Linked DNA regions of Alligator mississippiensis. The main gene of each other region encodes a partner of the protein of the gene in region 3 in a complex. Links are inferred from orthologs where the notes say so. Each region holds a gene or a part of one and is shown on either strand. Other genes may lie near its edges. The genes, in order: WASF2, ABI1 and CYFIP1.

What was found.
Region 1: CYFIP1 (region 3) and WASF2 share a complex: the UniProt entries of both Homo sapiens proteins name them as parts of the WAVE2 complex. The link is inferred for Alligator mississippiensis from reciprocal best matches to the Homo sapiens genes CYFIP1 and WASF2.
Region 2: CYFIP1 (region 3) and ABI1 share a complex: the UniProt entries of both Homo sapiens proteins name them as parts of the WAVE2 complex. The link is inferred for Alligator mississippiensis from reciprocal best matches to the Homo sapiens genes CYFIP1 and ABI1.

The regions. Positions count from the first base shown.
Region 1 is NC_081829.1:2,438,274-2,445,998, reverse strand, and holds the start of WASF2 (actin-binding protein WASF2), read right to left. Parts: upstream 3,060-7,725; 5' UTR 2,966-3,059; intron 1-2,965. UniProt on the Homo sapiens protein: Downstream effector molecule involved in the transmission of signals from tyrosine kinase receptors and small GTPases to the actin cytoskeleton. Promotes formation of actin filaments. Part of the WAVE complex that regulates lamellipodia formation.
Region 2 is NC_081828.1:189,409,973-189,417,182, forward strand, and holds the start of ABI1 (abl interactor 1), read right to left. Parts: upstream 3,060-7,210; 5' UTR 2,975-3,059; coding exon 2,858-2,974; intron 216-2,857; exon of another isoform or gene 117-215; intron 1-116. UniProt on the Homo sapiens protein: May act in negative regulation of cell growth and transformation by interacting with nonreceptor tyrosine kinases ABL1 and/or ABL2. May play a role in regulation of EGF-induced Erk pathway activation. Involved in cytoskeletal reorganization and EGFR signaling.
Region 3 is NC_081824.1:338,765,739-338,773,451, reverse strand, and holds the start of CYFIP1 (cytoplasmic FMR1-interacting protein 1), read right to left. Parts: upstream 3,089-7,713; 5' UTR 2,967-3,088; intron 1-2,966. UniProt on the Homo sapiens protein: Component of the CYFIP1-EIF4E-FMR1 complex which binds to the mRNA cap and mediates translational repression. In the CYFIP1-EIF4E-FMR1 complex this subunit is an adapter between EIF4E and FMR1.

The DNA.
Region 1 (7,725 bases), on a different chromosome or scaffold from region 3:
AAACTGGGTTAGCAATTACGTGTAAGGATTTTCTTCTCAATGAGACCCACTGACCAATGAGTCACTACTCATGAAAGTGTTCTCAACTGTAAGCTTTAAGATATGCTTTCTGTATTTATTTGGCACACAATACATTTCCTAGAGATGTGGGTATAAAATTTGGCTCAACAGAACATTACTACTAATTCAGCCCTTTTGCCAAAAAATTCGTCAATAGTTTTGTGGCTGTCTACTGCTTATTAAGACTGTTTTTTGTTTTGTTTTAAATACAGCACTACAAATACATTGCTGCACTCTGCATCAGTACTACTACCCAAAGCCCGCTTGCCTTTTTCTTCAGCTCTTATTCTAGCACGTTTTCCATTATCGTGAATGTTCTGGACACCCGTACAAATTTGAGCTTAGGAAGTTCACCAAAAACTTATCATGGCAAGGGGCAAACGAATGGTGAGTGGAGGTCCACCTTGAAGTTTTAAGGACCACTCAGCTTCCCCGGGTTCTACCAGTTTCATTGAATCATAGAAAATTTGGGGTGGGAGGGAGCTCAGGAGGTCACATGTAGTCCAACCCCCTGCTCCAAGCAAGACCAGCCCAACTACATCATCCCAGACAAAGCATTCACTGCCGCTCACCAGATTCAGAAGGAAAAGGCGGTGGTGAAACTGCCGGGTGTGTTGCTCATGTCACCTGCGGGTGCTTGGAAAGACCCTGGCCAGTAGAAGTGGTACTGGACCCAGTGGATCCAGACTCCGGTCTTAGCCACATAATTAACAACAGGCATGATAAATTTAAAAAATGATCAAGACAAGGCATGCTGCTGAATTTCCTCGCGGTAAAACTGAGGTGGCCCTGTCTTCCCTTCAGGATAGGTAATGCACACTGGTTACTCTGAGGCGCACACGTACATAAAAAACCCCCAACCAAAGTGAAGCAGGGCCTCAGAAAGATGTACAGTCCATTCATCCTGGAAGATTATTTTCTCGTAGCTTCCACCCACTCAGCATGGTGCTTGCACCCTCGTTTTGGCTAGGTTAAACCCTAAAGTTGATGAGCCTGCTATAGTCCTGGCAGGGAGAACAAAGGCTTTGGAGTTAAAAACAAACCCCAACACATAAAAACAACTCATAGTAGAAAACTCATGCTTTTGAATGCAGAGGTCCCAGGTTCAATCCCTGCTGCTGACAACACACTCAGGTCCTGCCTTCCAAGTGGTGGCTCACACAGGGATCTGGATTAGGTTGACCTCTGCACCTTAGGTCCAGCTTTCCCACTCACATTTTCAACAAAAACTCTCGCTCTCTCTCTCAAAAAAAAGCATAAAATCTGCAGAAGCATCTGGCCCGCTCAGTCCTCTCGCCAGGTAAAGCATTGATTGCGAGTCTGCAACTGATCAGATTTTCCAAGTCATACTATAAAGATATCATTGAAGTTTAAATTCGATTGGTTTAAAACACGAAATGGAAAAGGATAACTTAAATACAAGACAAAACCCGCTCAGAGCGCTCGACACAGAACTTCTGCTGAACCGAAAATCCTAACGCTGAACACGTCCATGTGAGCAGCTTTTAATAAGCACCGGCTCTGCAGGCATTTCAAACTAGTGTGAGACGTTTAGGCCCTTTTTCTTCCTCATTTGGCAAATACTGTGCAAGCGTGCACACTTAAATATTGCCCATTAAGTAACATTTCTCGTGTCAGTTCTACTGCAAGGCAGGGCCTTTGTTCTTCGCTGGCCCCGGCACGTCTTTCACTTTCAACTTTTCCCCCCTCTCGCAAGGCTTCCTGCTCTTAAGGATGTCATACAAGCGTAAGGAGCACAAAGGGCTTGACAAATTACAGCCCTGTCCACAGCAGAAACATCTTCTAAAAGCTCCTCCTCGCTGCTAACATCTCCTCTGATGCCTGGGATAGCGGGCGCCGTGCAGCAGGCAGGTCACCAACACTTTTAACACCCCGGGAAACAAACCCGCTCTCGGCATTTTAAAGCGGCATCGAAAACTGCCAGCCGCCCCCCCTGCGCGGGAGGGCGAGCGGGGCTGAGGATGTCACCGAGACACGTCCAGCCCAGGCAGCAGCACAAACTTTGAGAAAACTTCCCTGATGTCAGAGCAGGGCCCGAGGGCCGGGAAGTGCCGCAACTTCCCCCGGCCCGAAGGGATTCAGGGCTCGTGTCCTCCGAGTGCTGCTTTCGGGCAGGCCCAAGGACACGCGGGAGATGACACCCGTGTGGAGGTCAGCGCGGGGCTGCCCTGGGCCTGCTGCACCCCGCGCAGCCCCTCCGGGATGGGGGGCCGCCTAGGGCGAGGTGTCCTCGGCCCCACCCTGCCACGCCGGGACCACGCGCTCTCCCGCCCCCGGCACTGCTGCGGGTGGGGCACAGCACAGCCCCACGCACCTGTCGTGGCACCCCACACACCCCAAGGGGGGGAGGGGGCACACACCCCAAAGGGGGGGGGAGGGGGCACACACCCCAAAGGGGGGGGGAGGGGGCACACACCCCAAAGGGGGGGGGAGGGGGCACACACCCCAAAGGGGGGGGGAGGGGGCAACTCCACACACCCCAAGAGGGGGGAGGGGGCACACACCCCAAAGGGGGGGGAGGGGGCAACTCCACACACCCCAAGAGGGGGGAGGGGGCATACACCCCAAAGGGGGGGGAGAGGGCAACTCCACACACCCCAACGGGGGGGGAGGGGGCAGCCCCACACACCCCAAGGGGGGGGGAGGGGGCACACACCCCAAGGGGGGGGGAGGGGGCAGCCCCACACACCCCAAGGGGGGGGGAGGGGGCAAACACCCCAAGGGGGGGGCTATAACCCCATAAGCGGGGGGCAGCCCCCCTGGACCAGTCCCCCGGTCACTATGTGGCAGGAAGCGCCCCCCCACCACAGGCCCGTGGCTCCCTATGTGGCAGCGGCCTGGAGCCCGGCTGCCCCCCCTCGCCCTCCCGCGCGCGCTCGCTCACCCCCGCTTGGAGCCGCGTCTCGGCCGCCGCCGCCGCCGCTACCCCCGGGGCGGGCCGCCCCCGCCGGCCGCCATTCCGCGACTCCCCTCCCGCCCGCCCGGCCCGGCGCGGCCCCGCCCCGCCTCCCCGGGCGCCGGCGCGCCGCCCCATTGGCTCCCCGCCTGCCTCTCCCCGCATGCCATTGGCTGCTGGGCGCCGCCTGTCAAAGCCGCCGTGCTGCGCCGCTTGCGTACGACGCTAGCGTAACACCGGGGCCGCACCCAAGCGGGCGACGCAAACAGAGTAAACAAGGGGGAACGTACCACCCGCGGGGAGGGGAGGGGAGGGGAAGCGAAGCATGGCTGCTTGGGGTGGGAACTCAAGGCTAGCACTTGACGGAAATAGTTATGTGTCTTCTTTGGATGCCATTGGGCTGCCTTGTTTTTCTTTTTTTTTAGGGAACGGTGGGCATTTCCAGGGCTGACCCACCCCTCATTTGGCATTGGTCTTGTCCTACCCGCACGGCTCGTGAACTCTGAGGAAGGGTCCACTTCGGAAAAAGAAAAGGGGGAGGGGGGATACTAGTAGAGGGAAGGGCCCAAATGGAAACGAGAGCGGGGGTGGGGCTGGGCCTTCCGGCAGGGGGCGGAGCAGAGGCGGGCGGTGCCTGTTTAACCCCTGCAGTGCCGCAGCCTGGCCTGCCTGCCACTTCCGGATTAAGAGGCACAACTAGCAGGGCAAGGAAATGGGCACAAGTCACATCAGCAGCACGAGCCAGAGGCCTCCATCTGCTCAGCCCACGAGGGATGGAGTGCCCTTGCAAATGCATTATAATTAATTCACTAAGTGCCACCCTACATTTGGGGTCCCCCCCCAAATCCCAATATATGCCCTTTGCAATGCTGCAGGGACGCGCGGCAGGCGAGAGCAGTGCAGGCGCTCCCCTTTGCACCAATGGCACACGCGTAGGAGCAAACTCCCCGATTCCCTCCCGGCCTTAGGGAAAGTTAGAGCAGCCTGGGGGTCGCTCTAAACTGTGCCAGCTGGAGCTGGATTAGGCACTAGCTAGAGCGCACCACAGCCCACCTACTTCCCCCTTGCGTTTCCACGTGCCACGGGAAGCTGGCTGCGCTGGGGACGTGGGACGGGAGCGGGGTGGGGTGGGGAAAGCAGCTCGTCCTCGCCCCACTTTGCGCACAGCACAAAGAGAACAGCCCAGGGACCCTCCTGGACTCCCCCGGCGCCCGCAGACGACACACCTGCCACACGAGCCACGTGCAAGGCCCGCGCAGCTCTCCGTCTCCCCTCCCGCAGCGCAGCACCTCGCGGGGCTGCCACAGCAAAGGCCAACAAAGGACGGCTCGGCAGCTGAACGCCGCAGCAACTGGGTCAGCGAGCATCTCCAGGGCTGAAGGTCACGCTCGTCTTAATCAGCACCTGCCAATCTGCCAGTGCTCCCTGACCGCATCCCATCTCCCCCCCCCCCTTCCCTGGGGCCTGCCTTTAGCTCACATCTTGAAATAATCAGGACTAATTACTTGGCGCCACCCCTCCAGGAGCTCCTCCCATCAGCACCAGGGATTCTCAAGCAGGGTGCCCTGAGATCCTCCCCGGGGTGCCACTGCCCGGTTAGCGATTCAGGAGAAAAACCCAGAGGTTTCAAATAGGAATCCGCAGCTGGGGTCTTTCCGAGTGCTTTGCCACAGGGAAAAAAAAAAATGCTCGTGTTATTTTTCTGTAGTCCAAAAAAACAGTGAAAGCGAAGAGCTGGCATTTTCCCAGGGGACCTTGAGTCTACGCCGGGACGAAGTTGAGAGCAACGGATCTACGCTCTCCCCGTGAGAAGCCCCTTGCCCGGTGCCCCGCACCTCTGCGGTGCTAACAAGCTCGCACCGCCGCAAGGCGTAGCCTCTGCCCCAACGGGAAGGTGCTGGAGGTTTTGGACTCCAGGTTTTCCTCGCTGCCAGTTCACTCGAAGAGGATTTGCTTCTCTCTCTAGGTGTCATAGCCTCAAGGGAGCCACCTAATCTGTGTCTGCTCTGCAACCTTTATCTCGGGGGGGGGGGGGGTGCTTGCACGCACACGTGTCTCAGTTTAGCCCTCCTGAATATGTGCTGTGCTGCAGTATCCCAGGCAGCCGCGCTGCCCCCTGACACTTATTTCTCTCCTGGAAAGGATCTCATCACCTGCCAATTGCCTTTCTGTATTTTCTGCCTGTAAATGATCCTCTGGCTGCGCTGCCCTGCAGACCGCCAAGGTGACTAGCTGAGCAGCTGGCGTGGGCGGGGGGGGGGGAGATGATGGAGGCTTTTCCATGACACGCTGCTTTCATGGTGAACTTCAGTCCTGAGCTTATGCTCCTTTTTTCTATCCTTCCCCAGCGCTGCAATCTCATTACGTTAAGCCCGTGGGTTGTGCCTGTCAAAATCTTAGTGCCGACCACCGAAGGGGGCCAGCAGACCGAACGAGGCCTTCTGGAAATAAGATGCTTGATCTCGGGGAGCTAAGTAAGATCAAGCCACTGCCCATCTGGACTCGGGAGGGCTCACTGGGCCATCGCACTGCAACTCTGCGTGGAGCTGACCATGTGCTCGGAGCTGCACAGGGTGATCTCTTCACGGCACTGCAGCATAACGGCAGCGTGTGTCGATAGGCAACTGCTTCGGTGCTAACAACCGCGTGGGTATTGCAGCACATCCGAGTACATCCCCGCTGCCCACATAACACGGGGGGTCTCTAGGAACGGGGGGCCTAAAAGCCTCCTTGCTCATCTGTAGCCCAGCACGTACCCAGGATTTCGGACAGGTTTGTCCAGCCTGCGTTGGAGCCTGTGCCGCTGCATTGCTAATCCCCGGGCAGGCTCGGTACGTGCTGCCGTCTCACCTGGGACTGCACGGTTGCCCTGCCTGAGGAGGGGTGCACGGAGCAGCGCACCCTCCGACCGAGAGGCACCCGCAGATTGCGACTGGCTTTGGGAAACGGAGGCAACGGGCAGGGATTTGCACCTGGCCTCGACATTAGAGCAACGCCTCCGGGGCCGAGCACTTGTTCACGTGCAGGCCTCCGAACCGGACCAAAGCTGAAGGGATGCGGGGACCGAAGAGCATCAAGTAAAGCCAGCCCGTCGAGCTGATTGATCTGCTTTGTGAAGACAGAGCGGTGGTGCAGTGCTGTGTGTTGGGGGCGGACGTGAAATCCTGCCTGTGAGCTTCAGCGGTCCCTTGGTTTTCCCAGCCAGCTGCTCACTTGTGCTGCGTGGAGGAGAGCTCTGCTTACATTTCTCATTCTGATAAGCTGCAAGGGAGGTTTGCGACGCGCTGGCTCGTCACGCCGTCAGCACTTTATGGACACGAAAACGGGCCTGTTCTTCAAAAGGGGCTCAACTCAGCGACCGAAGCCCCCAGGACCCCGAAATGACCTGTTTTGTAGGGAGGCCACGTAGCCTCGTGGTGACAGAGCAGGGCTGGGAGCTGGGAGCAGCGAGGTTTGATCCAGGCGCCGAGCTGCGACAGCGACTGGCATCACGTCAGTCCTAACCACAAACCCCTTTATCTCTCCGAGTCGCCGTTTCTCTCTCCGCAAGACGGAGACAGCTGCGCTTTTCTGTTTTGCAGAGCGCTCCGGTTTGTCATCCTCGAGATCTTCTGCCGGAGCCTGATCAGCATGGCACCCCAAGCCCAGCGGCCAGGCCAAGGGCCAAGGAGCACGCATCTTGCACCCCAGTCTCCCCCTTCGATTGATGCTTGCACGGGGCGCAGCGAGGGGCCGCGATAAACCTCGGGGGGGCTGGAGACCTGGGCTGGCAGCGGTCACGATGGCAAAGTGACAACGCCAGCACTGCCCAGGGGTCAGCGGGATCCCGGTTCCCCGTGGGCACGGAGGTGCCCTCGCCCCCAGCCTGGCTCGCTGCTTTGCCCGTGCCGCCGGGCGCCCAGGCCGGCGCTGGCGCTGGTGGAGGGCACTTGCGGGAACGCAGCGGTGCTGCTGACATTTACTAATCAGCGCTAACCTTAGATCCACACACACGCCGTCTCGCTCACTGTCTTGTCTCCATGGAGACACTGCAACCTTTGCTCACTAGTTAACGGTATCTCAGAAAAAACGAAACTCCGACGCCACCCTTCCTCCCGGCTCCCGCCCCCGTGGGAAGGGGGAACTTGCCCAGAGGAGACAAAACCTGGCTGTCGCCTCCGAGATATTTTGCATCTGCAGCCAGGGACAAGGGTGAGGCGGTGCTAAGAGGCAGGCAGGATTTGGCCCCCCGCCACCGAGTGCAAGAAGCGGGCTGGCACGGCCAGTTTGGGTGGCACTGATGCAGTGGGCAATAAAGACATGGTCTTATTTTGCATGGTCCACCCCAGAAACCAACTCAGGGAGTTTTTATTGCAGCAGCCGAAAGGGTCTCTGTGTCCGCGGTGTGCGATGGGATCCTTGCCAGGCTTCTGCACTGCTGGGCAGAGCGCAATTTGTGCGGTTCATGGCTCTCGCTGGCGCATTTCATTCCTTCCTGCAGCTGACGCGCATCCTCCCGCCCCCAGTGGCACCTGGGCTTACTTATTTAGCAGCAGGTTACTGGGGTCGGTGCTGGCAAAATCACGGCAGAGCATCTCGAGAGGCTCTCGCAACCCGGACGCCCGGGCTCTGCCAGCTTATACCGAAAAATAAAAATCCTCTTGCACTTTATGTCTCCGCCGGTGACCTCGGAGCCCTGCTACTGCACGAGCAATGTCAGCCCATCGAGCAGCATCTCCGCCGTACACAACTTGCTGGGGAGGAAGGGA
Region 2 (7,210 bases), on a different chromosome or scaffold from region 3:
GTACTCTCAGCCTTCCCTCTAATCTCATTGGCTCCATTTAGCATCTTCTTTCTTTTTCCTTTTATTAGACAGACTTTCAGAACATGAATGGCTTGGCAGACAAGATACCCTACTACCTGGAATTCTGATTTGGTATTGTTTGTTGCACAGTACATGGTAACCGTAAACTGCTTCCCAGTTCCTTTGAACACTGGCATCCAGAGATCAGTCAGTTGCTGGGGGCAGAGTAGGAACAAAGAAAAGAAAGGACAAGAAAGATGATTTAAGTTTCATCTTTTCAGACTGATATATATTCATATATATATATTTCATATATTTTGAATACAGATACTTCTAAAGTTCTCTCAGGGGAGGGAAATCAATCTTTTAAGATTATTGCTTTTAAGTCTTATCTTTAATAAAACTAAGTCTTGCCCAGGTAAAGACAGCTAGATACCAAATACAAAAAAACAGTAACCAGATGTGTTTACAACAAACATTTGTGTGGTTTGATCAAAAATGTCAAACAAAATCCATTTAGTTTCAACTTCACAAAGCACAGGTGGTGGCAACAGAGTAACACCTGCAATGAGAACAGCATATTGCTGTTTAGATCTGAAAGACAGAGCGTATGCACCAGTAGTCACATTTCTGTCAGAGACCTCACAGAGCCTGGTTTGAGTCACTTAAGTAGGGACCCAGATGATGACATCCTACATTTAATGCTGTACTTCGTCTATAGCTTCTCTTGCCTTGTTCTGCTTTGACTGCCTCTTCCCACGATAAAGACAAATGGGGTGCCATAGCCAACCTAGATGTTAAAAATACTGACTGACTTGTCCGATCAAAGATACTCAGTATAAACACCACGTTTTGATCCCACCTACTCATTCTCATCACCCTACACTGGCCTTGTATCCTCTAATCCTGTGGCAGTGCCATCTAGGACACTGCCACTACTACAGTCAATCCTCTGTAACAGTAGAACAGATGGCTTTATTCAAGCCTTACCTTACCAAAAATAATATCTCTCTCATCATCAATACACTTTTTCTAAATTTGATTAAACCTACACACAATGCAAACTAGATATAAACCCCATGAGACTACTGCGTAAGTCCTGACTCTGCATTTTAGCATGTCAGATTCTTTCCAAAAAAGGAAAATACAGCCACTTGCAGACAGGCTGTCAAGTACACAGCAGGTTTTGATTCTCAAGTGGTTGCTGGTTATGTGACTTTCAAATGACTAATGGGATTCATTTCTTTTAAAAACATTAGTAAGGTTTATGATTCTGATCATTTTAAATGAACACAGTGCCAAACAGATTCTTTGCAACTTTTCTCAAATAGAAAGAAGAGTCAGACAGGTCAAAACATGAGCTGCAATTACTATGTTCATGTGTTTGTCATATTTCCCATGAGTAAAACCAAATGCAACCTCACCTTTTAAAAGCATTTGCATCAGCAGATTTTTTCGGGTGGAGCAAGTAACTCCCAAGAACAAAACAAAAAGTTTAAACTGTGTTGCCACCCACTCAGACAGATGTCAACCTTTCCCTATGCAAATTCTGATTTCCTAGTGCAGTTTCAATCTAAAGTGTCAAAATGATTACTTTGTATTTTCAGAAGCAATTTCCTTAAAGAAACATTGTGGTTCCTTTTCAAGTGTGGTGCTCCATGAAAAGAAGGATAACCAGCTAGCTGCAGATGGATACCAAATAACTTGGAAGTATTAAAAACTGTATTGAGCTTTGGTACAGCACACCCAACTGGGGACACGTTACATTTGAAAGGCTTATCTGAAAGACAACTCATGGCATATAGTTCAGCTTCCTTTTCTCTATATCATTTTTCCCGGGGGGGGGAGGGAGGGAGGAGGAGGAGAACAGCTGAGTTCTTTGGGGAATGTACAAGAGGCACAGTGGATGGAAGACTGGATTCGGAAGCAAAGAGATCAAATGAAAGCTTTGCAAACAGTTTAAATTAAAGTGTCCTTAAAGCAGCACCCACAGAGGAGCCTCAGACAGAGGCGCAGGGAACTGGGTCACTAGGAAGCCACCGGTAGCAGGCTGTGGAACCTGGGGCTGTCCCAGCAACAGGGGACACCAGAGCAGTCTGAGGCCCAAGCACCCTGCAGTGGGAACAACAGGCCGCACCTCACAGAAGTGACAGGCCCAAGCATCCATTGCCCTCCGGATGGGGCGCCACAGCAGCAGCAAGCACTGCCTCCCACCCTGCCACACAACGCCCCTGCACGCACACCTGGGACGAGCATGTCCTTTCAGCCCCAGCGGTCCCCAAAGCATGTCTGTGAGCGCACATGCTTACACACCTCCACACACACTGCCAAGGTGTGGGGGGCTCGGGCACTCCTGCCTCGCGGAAGTCCCTCACAGTGGGCAGGTGGGGTGCGACTGTGACAGGGTGTGCGTGGGGGGGCAGCGGAGCAGGGGCAGTGTGCGCCTGACTGACTGACGGGGTGTGGGTGTGGGTCCCGCGGAGAGCAGAGCCTGGCAGCTGGGCGCGCCCTTCCCTTCCTGAGCTGCATGTGCCGCCCGACACACACACGCACACGCAGGCAGGCCCCAGGGCGGGAGGCGCGACGTGACTCACAACAAACAAGCCCGGGGGAAGCGGACACACCCTCCGGGCGCCGCGGCCCGCCCGCCCCCACCCTCCGCCCGGGAGACTGGGATGAAGTTCAGCAGAAAACCTCAGGGGAGAAAAGCCCCGGGCTGCGGCGGGGGCCCTGCCCGGCTGCACCGCTCCCTGCTCCTGCCGCCGCGGCGCCCACTTCCTGCCCTGCCCGGCGCGGCTTGGGCTCGGGCTGCCACCCGCCCCGGCCCGGCCCGGCCCGGCCCCGCCGGCGGCCGCACCTGGATGTAGTTGTTCTCGCAGTAGTCGGCAACGCGCGTGAGGTTCTGGTAGCTCTCGAGCAGCGCGCGCTTGCCCACCGGGATCTCCTCCTCTAACAGCATCTGCAGCTCTGCCATTTTCCACCGCTCCGCATCGCTTCCCCCGCCTTAAAGAGACAGCAGCGGCAACGCCGCCGCCTCGGCCACCCGCCCAGAGGGCATTGTGGGAGACTGCCCCACCCACCCGCTGTGTGGCAGCCTGGGAAATGTAGGCCTCGGCGCTCGCCTCTGTGCGCATGCGTAGGAGGAGGATTGCCTCCGCCGCCTCCTGCGTTTGTCTTTACCACCGGGTCTGCATGGGAGACTCCCCTGCCCGCGCCGCGTCTCGGCTGCTACCGCGCTGAGTGCCTGGGTGGCGGCTCCCCAGCGAGCGCTGCCCGAGCCCAAGCAGTTTTCGGGATGCTTCTTTCTCATCCCTGTTGCTGGGTTTTTGGTTGTAGCCATGTTGGTCTAAGGACACAGGTAAGCAAGGTTATTTGGGTAGATGTGATCTCTTTTATTTGACCAACTGAGTAGTTGGAAAAAAGTTCTTGGCAAGCTTTCGGGCTCAGTCAAAGGGTGACAACACCCAAAAGCTTGGCAAGAACTTTTTTCCAACTACTCAGTTGGTCTAATAAAAGATATTGCATCTACTCAAAGAACCTTGTCTTTCTTATCCCATCCTCTTTGGTTCTTCCAGCAAGCACTGCTCCCCCATTCAAAGTGCTGTGAGAAACCCAGGAGGAAAACCTGGTGGGGGCTGTGGTCCTTGTGGGAATGAACCAGAGCACTCGGGCCACCAGAAGAGGAGGAGGCTGAAGAGAGACACTTCTTCAGTATCTTTTCTGGGGCAGAGTATGGGTTCAGGCCACTTTTACTGAGTTGTGTGATAGCATCAGGCACGGGTGACTGGTGCCTCTTGAGTCAGTGACTGGGAGGGGAAGGGAGTCCCCCAGCAGCCAATCCCACTGACTGCCTGCCCCCCTGCCTGTCGGCTAAACAGGGAGCGCAGCCTGACAGGGTGCACCAGCACTCAGGGGGTGCATATGCACCCCCTACGCATTGCCCCTGACATCAGGCTTTCTTATAATTGTGTGCACATCTCAGCCAGGAGCTGCAGTGGCAAAACTAGAATAAGGGGCTGCGTCCAGAAGAGGACAGACGTTTGGTTCCCCGGGGACAAGAAACAGCCACCTTGTGCCACTGCTACTTGCCCCAGGCCTGTGCCAGGCTCTGGTTTTGGGTGGTGTGCACTGCCACCACATGCACTACCCCACTTCTCTTCGGCACAGGGGTTTTTGACCTCCAGGATTTCCTGGGGTCAAAAAACCCTGTAGCACTGCAAGATTGCAACATGGAGAACGTCTGCATGTGCAGCATGTGGCACTGCAGATGGGTCTGTGGTGCCACATTCCGCACAGCCGCACTAATCTGGACACATCCACAGATTGCTGCTCAACTCAAACAGGCATATAGGCATCTGTCTTATTTGCATCTTACCTGACTTTGTGTTCATCACCAGAAAGGGGGTGCTATAAGGTCTGAGTCAGCCAACACAGAAAGTTCATAACAAGTGATCTAGGAAGGTCCAGAAACTGATTTTCTTTTCTTTGCAATTATCATTGGAAATGTCACACCTGTGGACTTGGATGAGCATACTCAAGAGCCAGAGAGGAAGCCTCTACAGAATAATGCAACTAAGGGACATGTGATGAGCAGACATGGCGTTCTCCAGCTTTGGTTGATGTAAGAAACACATTTTAAAGCATTAATTAAACTTGCTGAACATGTCTTCTTGTGTACATGCACTAGCACAAGGATTTAATTATCACATTTTATGTTTTTGTATTAATTGCTGTATTATGAATGGTGCTTGTTTTGAAAATGATAAAGTTCTTAAGGGGACAACTCTGCCTCAGGATCTTACACTAATCAGAGCTGTAGTAGGCAGCAAATTCTCCTGCTGCTTTCATGGTTCCCTTTCTCTACAAACTGCCTCTACACCAAATACTTTGTATAATCCAAACAGGCAACCTCCTCCTGGTGTCTGCACAAGAATCAAAACTTTACTGGAACAAGAAACAGAACTTGAAAGGTCATATGTAGCAGCGCCACCTAGCTGATACTTGCTGTTAATAGCGGCTTACTTTTGTTTTCCCTATCCATGCAAAGGTTAAATGATTGTTCAAGCATTGGTCAAGCACAGCAAGGCAACAGATGATTTGAAAACAGCACACCTCTCTTGACTGCAGGAGAAGAATAGCTGTGGTCCTATTCAAGATCTACCTACAAAAATAAGTTCTATTCCAGGGAGAAGTTGAGATGACATCCTGCACACAGCAGATTTTGTAGATGCTTAAATATGCTGCTGCATCACTCTAACTTGGCTTCTTATGCATGGGCTCCCTTTGGCTGGGATTTAAAGGCATCCATAAACACAGCCACATTTTGAGGCAGTGGGGCCAACCTTTTTAACAGACCTACCACAAGTTAAGCCTTGCAGCCTCCCTAAGTACTACTCTAATCCCCTGCCCAGTCCCATCTGCTACTCTCCTTCCTGCTTCTTGACTGATCTGCTCCCATGCTGCTGCCTACCCCCTCCTCAGTCTGCCATGTGCCACAAAAAGGCTGCCAGTGCCACTTGCGGCATGTGTGCTGCAGTTTGGCCACCCCTGTTTTGGGGCTTGGTTCCTCCTGGGTTAAGAAGAAGCCTCACAAATGGCAACAAAGTGAACATTTACTCAGTAATTTGGGTAGATCCACAACCCTTGGTCTTCTTTCTTAGGATCATCCTGTACTGGAAAGTTTTATCAACCATACCGATTACACATATAACCTCTATCCCAGTATCCAAAGTGAACACTCTTATGCTGGTACAAGAGTGGCTTATTATTATTATTATTTATCCCTTTCTCAGGGGAGACTAGTACAACCAAAAAAGGGCACTTCAGGCACTTTCATACCTGAATAAGATTGACCAGAAAATTATATCAGTAGAATTATTTTCATTTATACTTGCATTTTAAACCAGGGATCAGCAATGTTTTTTGGGCAGAGTGCCAAAAGCACCCACAACCTCAACTTGTAAAATGTTCACATGCTAGGGCAGATGGTAGGGGAGCCACAAGGGGCCCAATTGTTGTGACAGTGGAGCCCCAGCCCTTTCCCCACTGCCTGCCCCAAACTTTGTGTGCCAAGTAAAATGCTTTCACATGCCAAGCTCTTGCACCCATGCCAGGGGTTGCCTACCTCTGTCTTAGGTTTGTTGGGTACAGTTTATCTCGTGTAAATATAGCCTTGTACAAGGAATGAAATTACCAATGTAATTAATATTTTGTTGATATCATGCTTATTTTTATCATCCCTGAGTTAACACCTCACTGAACTGAATGGGGCAATTCCCACGTCTCTCAGCTCATGCAGAGAGCCCTACAAGACATATATATTTGAGGTTTTCTTCACAACTATAAGAGCTGGAGGGTTTTTTCGTGAGTGCCAAGATTTGAGAATACGAGTATCTTTTTCCAAGAGGTGCCCTCACACACCATGCTCCTGTGAACCCGCTGTTCCTGGGATCTGCCTGACTTAAAAACCGGTGCCTTGTATACTGGACAAGGCTTCCACACAAACTGTTTGTTGCTAGGCAGCAGGAGTGTTTTGTGATGGCAGAGGAAGCACACTCAAGCCAGTCACTGCTAGGCAGCATTAGCCATTGGAGAGCACAAAATAATCAAACAAAACATTGCTATCTTGAGAATGTACAAAGATAGAAGAGGCACAAAAATAAATAGTTCTATGGTACTTTGACTTGATCTTTCTCCCGTAATGCATTTTCATCTATGGCTTATGCCTTCACTCTCAATCCTTTTCTCCGCCCCACTTCACCATTTCTCTCCCCTCTCCCTCCCTCTACGCTCCAATCTTCTTTTATCCCATTTCCTCCCTATAAATGCTCTAACCACCAAGCTTCTCCTTTCTCTCCCTCCTGTTCTGTCCTTTCAATTTCAGTTCTCTCCTCTTCTTTGTTCTGCGGGACTCCCTGCCTCTTGTTTGCCACTTTGTTCCTCCCTCCCCTCAACCTTTCATCTTTCCTGGCTGAGTCTGAGGTCCCCTCTTCTCTAATAGCTCCATAATTTTTCTTACATCATAGATGCTCTTAAATCCCTTCCTCTCCCAGCTCATGGTCACTCCTCTTGGTTTCTGTTTTGCACTCACTGCCAAAATGCCCTTCAAAATGCCAGTTGCAAGGAAGGACGAAATCACAAGATGAAGATAGTGCTTGAGAAAGGGGACAGGTGGTTTGTTGTGAGGGGAAAAAAAGGGTCAGTATTCTGC
Region 3 (7,713 bases):
AGTGCTTTTACCAGATAAAAAATAAGTCTCCTCCAAAAAGTGGAGGCATTCAAGGGCAAAAGAAGCAGGAAGCTCTAATGAACTAAATTAGCATGCAGATAACTTTAAAAAAAATCTCTCTGGTTGCATCTTTTCCTTTGCTCTCACTTTACTTCTTGTTAGCTCAGTGGCTGGCCCTGGTGGAACCCAATACCGGAGGGGGCACACATACCATTCAGCTGTATGTACAACATAGACACATACCGCCACTCCACTTCTAAGCATAGTTTACAGCATCCAGACATCTTTAAAATACTGAGCTTCCTGAAGAGAGAAACTCGTCTACTATACTTTCTACTTACGTACAGATATGTATACTTATATACTTATGTACAGATACCTGGAAAAGCAGTGATAAGATCCAAATAGTACATACAAAAACTTATGAATGATTTCTGCAGTGGTTGTAATGATTCTATAACGTATGTTAGAGAAAACACTTTTTAATAAGTCAAGGTAAAAATTACTACTAAAATCAACTACATTTTTGACAGCTGTAAACAGCTGTAAACTCTGGAGTTACAAGTAAAACCAGTCCTACAACCTGAATAAACCCAAGAGTTATATCCAGGATATGCACCGTGAAATATGGTAATCTTGTTATAAGTCAAGGTTTGAAGCTCAATTTTTTGATGGTCTTAGTTATTTCAATACATTTCTCAATATCTAGTACCCTAAATTTAAAAAATTGCAATGTATTTTGTATTTTCAGACAACAGAGGAATTCATGAAGTCCCATTCCTTTACAGGAATTTCATTAGCCCTTTGTTCTTTAAATAAGTAAGCCTGAGAAAGTCTCCACTTTATACCAAGTCTTTGATCTTTAAGTCTGCAGCACGCAAAACATAAGATTTCTCTCATTTGACAGGAAAAAAGGAAAAAAAGTTAGCCTGTCTCCCCTTCCCCGCCATTCTAAAATTTGATTTTAAGTTGTTCCCACTTTCTGTCACTTACAGGAACAGTCTATTTAAAACAGCTGAACTGCATAAGCAAATGACATGAAGCAACACTTGAAAAAAAACACAAAAAAACAACAAAGCCATGTAGAAGAGGCCAGCCGAAACATTATATGTAGATCCCAACACAGTTTTTGAAAAGGGATGAAACTGGGGCTAATCATGCAGGTTCACAAAACAATATAAATCACAGCTATTCAATCTAAGTACAACAGATTGTGAATATGAAAATACTGACCAGAAAGCAGGAAGCTTCAGCAGGGTATATTATTCTACCTTCCAGTTTCAAAAGTACACAAACTCACAATGATGCAGGCATCAACATTCACTAGACCTCATTTCAATTCTAGAAAGTTGCAGCACGTGCAGTGCAATACCTGTGATGGTGACGAGACCCTCCAGTCAGCAACTACAAGTCTTATGATTCTAGAGGAATTTCAAAGCTTCTAACAATGTATTTTTTTACATCCCTGTTAAGGAACTTCCCTTCTGGACAACCAATCCAGTCACCACTCAAAACCAGCTTGCGGGATGTCACAAATACTGATCTGCTTGCAGTGTGTGATTTGCTCTTCAAACCCACTACAAAGCTTACAAACCAAAACAGCTGGGGAATTGTATTAGAAAACATCAGCTGTGTAAATTTAAGCCTTCTGTTTGCAGTTGGGAAGGGCCTTCTAAACAGCCAGATATCCATTTGCCTTCAGAAAGTCCTGCCAAGGCAGTAGGATGAAACACCACCAGGTCACCAGGATGTCTACTGGAAGCTGATATCTTCCTTTCTATCCTGCCCTGCTCCTCACAGACAATACTAGTGGAGCTGGAAAGGAACCAGTTTCCTTCAAACTGTTGTTCCAAGGGTGCTTTCTTTTGCCACAGCCACGGGCCTCCCCTTTGCAACAGCAAGTCCAACCCAAGCCTCACAGTTGGGGGGGGGGGGGGAACGGGTGTCAATTCTCCTCCGCATTTGAGAGGCACTGACAACCTGGAACAGGCAACTTAGAGAAACAGTGGGATCTTCATCCTTAGAAACTGTCCAAGAGCAGATGGGCCAGCCCTTGGCTGGCATGGTTTAATCAGGACAATCCTGCCTGGAGCACAAGGCTGGACTAGATCAGTGTTTCTCCAACTGTGGGTCACAACCCTGGCTTTTTCCTTGTAGTCTGGCAGAGTTCCAGCCTGCAAGGGGCTGCTTGGGGGCCCCTGTGCTCCACACACACCTAACCCCACCCCACACACTGTGGGTGGTGGGCAGTGGGTCAGAAGTGAGAGGCACTGGACCAGGACAAGCCATCAATGTTTGCAAATGGGTCCTGGTCCAAAAAAGAGTAAGAAGCACTGGAGTAGAGGACCCCTGCATATGGGTGACTGATGCCTCCTGAGTCTGGGGGGGGTAGGGGGGGGCCAGCAGGGCACAGCCAGCCATACAATGACCCAGCAGCCAGTCACCAAACATGCTAGCGGAGCCAATTTGGGGAGGGGGGGGGCACTAGCACTCTCCATGCCCCCCTACCAGCCAGAGCGCTGTCAGGGGGGCACCAGCGCTCTCAGGCCTCCACCCCCACATATCCCCTATGCCTCTGGAGATCCCTCGCCTCTGGAAGTCTCTTCCAGCCTTACTTCCCTATGTGCCCCTTGCCAGGCAGGGCATGCGCTCCCTTTGCCCCTGTACCATATGTGGGGCTCAGAAACGCAGGAGACCTTGCCTCCAAGCAGCCAAACGCAGGCGCTGAGGGCCGCCTAGGCCAAGCCCCTGCCAGTCAGGAGGTGCCCAGGCTTTAGCCTGCCCAGGTCCGGCACCTCCCTCCCCTCAGCCGGAACCCCCGCGGCTTCTTGCGCGCAGGGGAAGCCCCGGGCCCGAAGCCCGCGGGCAGCACGTCACAAGGGGGCTGGAGGAGAGGCAGGAGCCCCCGGCCGCCCCCCGGCCCGCGGGAGCAGCGAGGGGCAGGCGAGGCGCTGCCCGGTGCTCACCCGTCCGCGGCAGCGCGGGGTGCAGCCGCCGCCCTGGGGATCGCCGCCGCTGCGCTGGGCCGGGAGTTTCCTGCCTGAGTCACTGGAGCTGGGAGCTGCGCAGGGAAACACCCTTCCTGCGGCTCCGGCCCCGCCTCCCTTCCCCGGCAGGAGCTGGGGGGTGGCCCCGGCAGCGCGGGCCCGGCCCCCTCGGCTCCAGCTTCCTACGCTCAAACCGGCCCCCAGCCGGCCCTGCTGTCTCCAAGCGTGCCGCAGGGGGCGGCGGCTGCGGCTGAGCACGGGCCAGGCCGGGCGGGCTGACCCACCGGGGGTCTAGGGGCTGCACGTGGGGAGGGGCATGGCCACGCCTGCCGCAACACCCACCTTGCAGCAAGGGAGGGCTAGGTCCCAGTAGGGTGGCCATCATAGGGCACAGTCCGGTTGTCCTTTATTGATACAAAACCGGACGCCTTTATGTCCTCTATTTTTCTCATCAAGACCTCTGGATATGGGCGGCTTGTGCCTCTTGAGTCTAGGGGACACCAGCGGGGTGTGACCGGGGGTAGGGTCCCCCAGCGGCCACCGGGGCAGGGGGGGACCCAGCCTCCAGTCACCAAGTGCACTGGCACAACCAGTTTCAGGGGGAGCACTAGCGCTCTCTGTGCACTCTCCATTGCTCCAAAAGAAAAATAGAGGACATAAAGGCATCCAGTTTCATATCAATAGAGGACAGAGTAGCAGAAAACCAGAACATCCTCAGTGGTGGCCACCCTAGGTTCAAGATAAGGAAAAACCTCCCTCCAGAGGAGGGTAGAAAAGCACTGAAACAGGTGACCCAAAGAGGTGGTGGACTCTCCAGACTTGGAGGCTTTTAAGACCTTAGTAGACAAAGCCTTGGTTGAGATGATCTAGTTGGGGACAGCCCTGCTTTGAGCAGAAGGTCGGACTAGATCTGCATTTCTCAACCTGTGGGTTGTGACCCAAAAGTGGGCTGCAAGAAAATACTAAAGGGTCATGAACAAACTTTAAAAAGGGATCAACAAACTAAAAAATTGTTCTTCTTTTTAGGGGAAAAATGTGGGAAACCATGGTTTTTCCCTTGCAGGCTGGCAGAGCTCCAGCCAGCCGTCCCTACACACTGGGGACGGGGGGGCGGGGAGCAGCAGGTCAGGAGTGAGGGCCACTGTGTCGGGACTGGCCACTAATGTTTACAAATGAGTCCTGGTACAAAAAAGGTTGAGAACCACTGGACTAGAGGACCTCTTGAGGTCCCTTCCCACCCTCATTTTCTATGTTTCTGTGTTTCTCCAGCTGTACTCAGAGGCTGGGGCAGGTCAAGGGGGCAGCCAGGGGGTATTTACCACCGGTCCTGTTTTTCCCCTACACAAGATGCTTAATGTGCAGGAGACTCATTCTACTGCACATTAGCACAGCAGACACAACCTGTACCACTGCACAGTAGATTTAATCTAATGCTCATTAATGTCACTAAAGAACCAGTCATCTCTGCTACTGTGCATTAGCACTGAATATGGCACATTAAGTTGGTATCTGTCATCACAGATACTAAACTTAATGCACTGTAATTATGGTGCATTCATGAATTTGTAAATGCTCCCAGTTAAAAAGAAACTAGAAGCTTCACTGTTCGGCCAGGGCAGGTCCAGGGGGTAGCTAGATGAATGAGCTATGAAGCCAATTGATTCCCTGCCTAGAAATGCTGCTGCTACTAACAGGCAACTAACTGGTTTAAAACTTTGAGTGGAGTAGGAATCAAAGTAGGATCCACCCCAACTATGTCTATCACAACAACCATGTTTTTCCAGTTAGATACAAACTAGAAGCTCAACTGACAAGCTGGGACACATCCAGGGAGAAGATAGAGTGATCTGGCTGGGATGATCTAGTTGGGGATGGTGCTGCTTTGACCTTCTGAGGTCCCTTCCAACCCTCATTTTCTATGATTCTAGGGGTGTCTACTACTAACACCTCCTTTTCCCCAATTAAAAGAAGCTAGAAGACTTGCTAATCGGCTGGGTGCCTGGAGCTGTGTTGTGCAGTTTCAGATGGAAGCAAAAACAAAGATAAGTTCCTTGGAAAGAGTTAAAAACAGTCTGCAGGGCTGTGAAATAAGAGCTTCCTAACCAGCTAACAGACAGCAGAGTTGCTGAAGAAAGGCTAACGTGCTTGGTGGAACAGGCAGACCCTTGAAAAGAAGAGAGGCAGGTTAACACCTGTGGAATACAGAATTTGGAAGGGGTCAGGTAGATGGATAATGAGGCATGAAGTCAAGTGACTCTGACAGCGCTGCCTAACTAGAAATGCTGCTGCCACTGCCAGGCAGTTGGTTTTAAACTTTGGGTGGAGCAGAAATCAAAGGGGTATGCAAGTGTGTCAGTGCAACCCCCTACATGCCCCTGCCCCAGATTTCTATGTGACATCTCTGGGTTTGTGATTCATGAGTAAGTGCTTGCACAGCAAACAGTGCTAATATTAAGCAGCACCCCTCAGCACCCTTAATTTAGGAGTCACGAGATCATCTTAACAATCAGCAGCTTTCAGCTCTGGGATAAAATCTGGGGAGGTAGGGACAGCCATTCCTCCTGGTGGTGCATGTTTTTGTATCAAATTGTATACCTAAAAATGGTACCAGGTGTCCTATTCCCCACCACCCCTTGACACTAAGTTTGCCTAAATCTTCACAGCACTCATGGCAGCAGGTCCCAGTGCTGCAGACTTGCATACCTTTTCAGCTGTACACATATTGAGTGTTTCCCGTTTAATCGGGCTGTGCAGGTGCACAAAGTTAAGCACAAAGGTAATGCTCCATCCTGCAGAAACTGAAGTCAGACCCTCAGGACAGTGCAGGGAGCAAGCCAATGTTGGTAGATCCACTTCTTTACCTGTAGTGTAAGCCTCCGTGTGAATTTTTCTGACACTTTGAAGCAAGTAGTTTCTCACTCCACCACATAGGGTTTTTCACATTTATGTTAACAGACTTGATGCTTATATTTACATGTATAACACTCACTTTGCATTTTCATTCTTCCAGAAAACTTCTTATTTTGTAAAAAGATGAGTCAACTTGCCCAGAATGTGTGGAGTGTTCAGGAGTCAGCCCAATGTGCTGCAGTGATCCCATTTATTTCTACAGGCCTCTTTCTACATGTAAAATTGAGCACATGGTCAGCACCTTCAGGCACAGAACAGGAGTGCCTTTCTCACTTCATGGAATTGAGGAGAGGGGTCATGTTGATGAGGAACAGAGATCTCAACTGTTCGGCCATGGGATAAGAACTGTACCTTCTTCGCAGCATGGAAAGTGTGTAGTACACCAGGGGCAGAAATAAAGCTAAATTGTTTCAGAAATCACACACACACACACACACACACAAATGTATATATCTATTCTGTCTGAAATAATAATACAATATTACATACTGGCCCTCAAAATGCTTAGCCCGGGAATTACCAATACTTTCCTCATTCAACATTCCCATTCTTTCCTTGCCCAAGTTAATTTTCTCTCTCCATACTCTAATACACAAATAATACAGTAAGACATTTCCATTGATGCACTTATTTCTGTTTCCAAGGACTTGTTCTCAGTAGAGAAATGGGAAGTACTAATGGCTGTGTTGTCAAAGAGACTTATGTATTTCAATTAATCATAGGCTTAAGGGCTTTGCTCACTTAGTGTATGAAGCAGAATCTCCAATCCCATCTTATTTTTCTAACATGTATAAAAGTTAATACCACGTGCTCTTGCTATTTCCAGCAGATTACAATTCATAACTGAACTGAAGTGGTTACTTTTTACTACACTGGAAAAGATAAATTGTAGCTTGGCAAAGGGAAGCAAGAGGGCTAGAAAGGGAATCCTTTTCAGGTATAAAGTTCCAAAAAATGGAAAAAAGTAGAGAAGGAAAAATACAGATAACTGATCAGAGACTCAAGTCTGACATACTCATTCAGGGAGCTCAAAATAGTGGCAATAATTAAAACAAAAGGAAGTAATTTTGAAAAAACAGATTAGTATATTAAACACACCATAAAACTAACTTAATGAAACTTAGGTAGCAAACTGTCTTGATTGGGGTGAATAAAATGTGGGTTAGCTCTGTAGCCATTACTGCCACAATGATCTTCAATTACATAATTTCAAATTTATTTTCTAGAACACCTATTTGGTTATTTTGTCTCAGACTTAAAATGACTCTTTGGGATCCAGAGCTGACTTACACTGTAGTGTAGAAATATATTTGTTATGATCTAATAAAGGAGCTCTCTCTATTATCTTTAATCTTATCTTGGATGTATGATCTGGATAAGCGCTGCTCATTTTCTGAATTTTAAAATATTGAATGTGGAACCAAATGGGGCACAACAGGCATCTCTGTGCAGTAGCCTCTCTCTCAGTGTCCATTTTCCTTTGTTTTCTCCTTTGTTGATCACACTTCCTCCAATTTCTCGAGCCCTCTGTCACTTGGCACCTCCATTTCTCCTGCCTTCCATTTTTGTTTGGAGTCCCCTAAGATTATATCTTATTCCTTTCATCTCCATCACATTTTATACCCGAGTGACTTCATTTACTTGTCTTCAATGACCATCTTTCTGCTGCTCTCTTTTTTCCATTCTGACTTCTTCCCGTGTTGTCTTGAAGTTGTCATTTAAACTGAGCATAATACAGAACTCCTCTCTTCGTTACCTCCTTGATCTCCACTGCCAGTTGGTTTTTTGTCCTCGAGAGCACCCAGAATGCTATCAG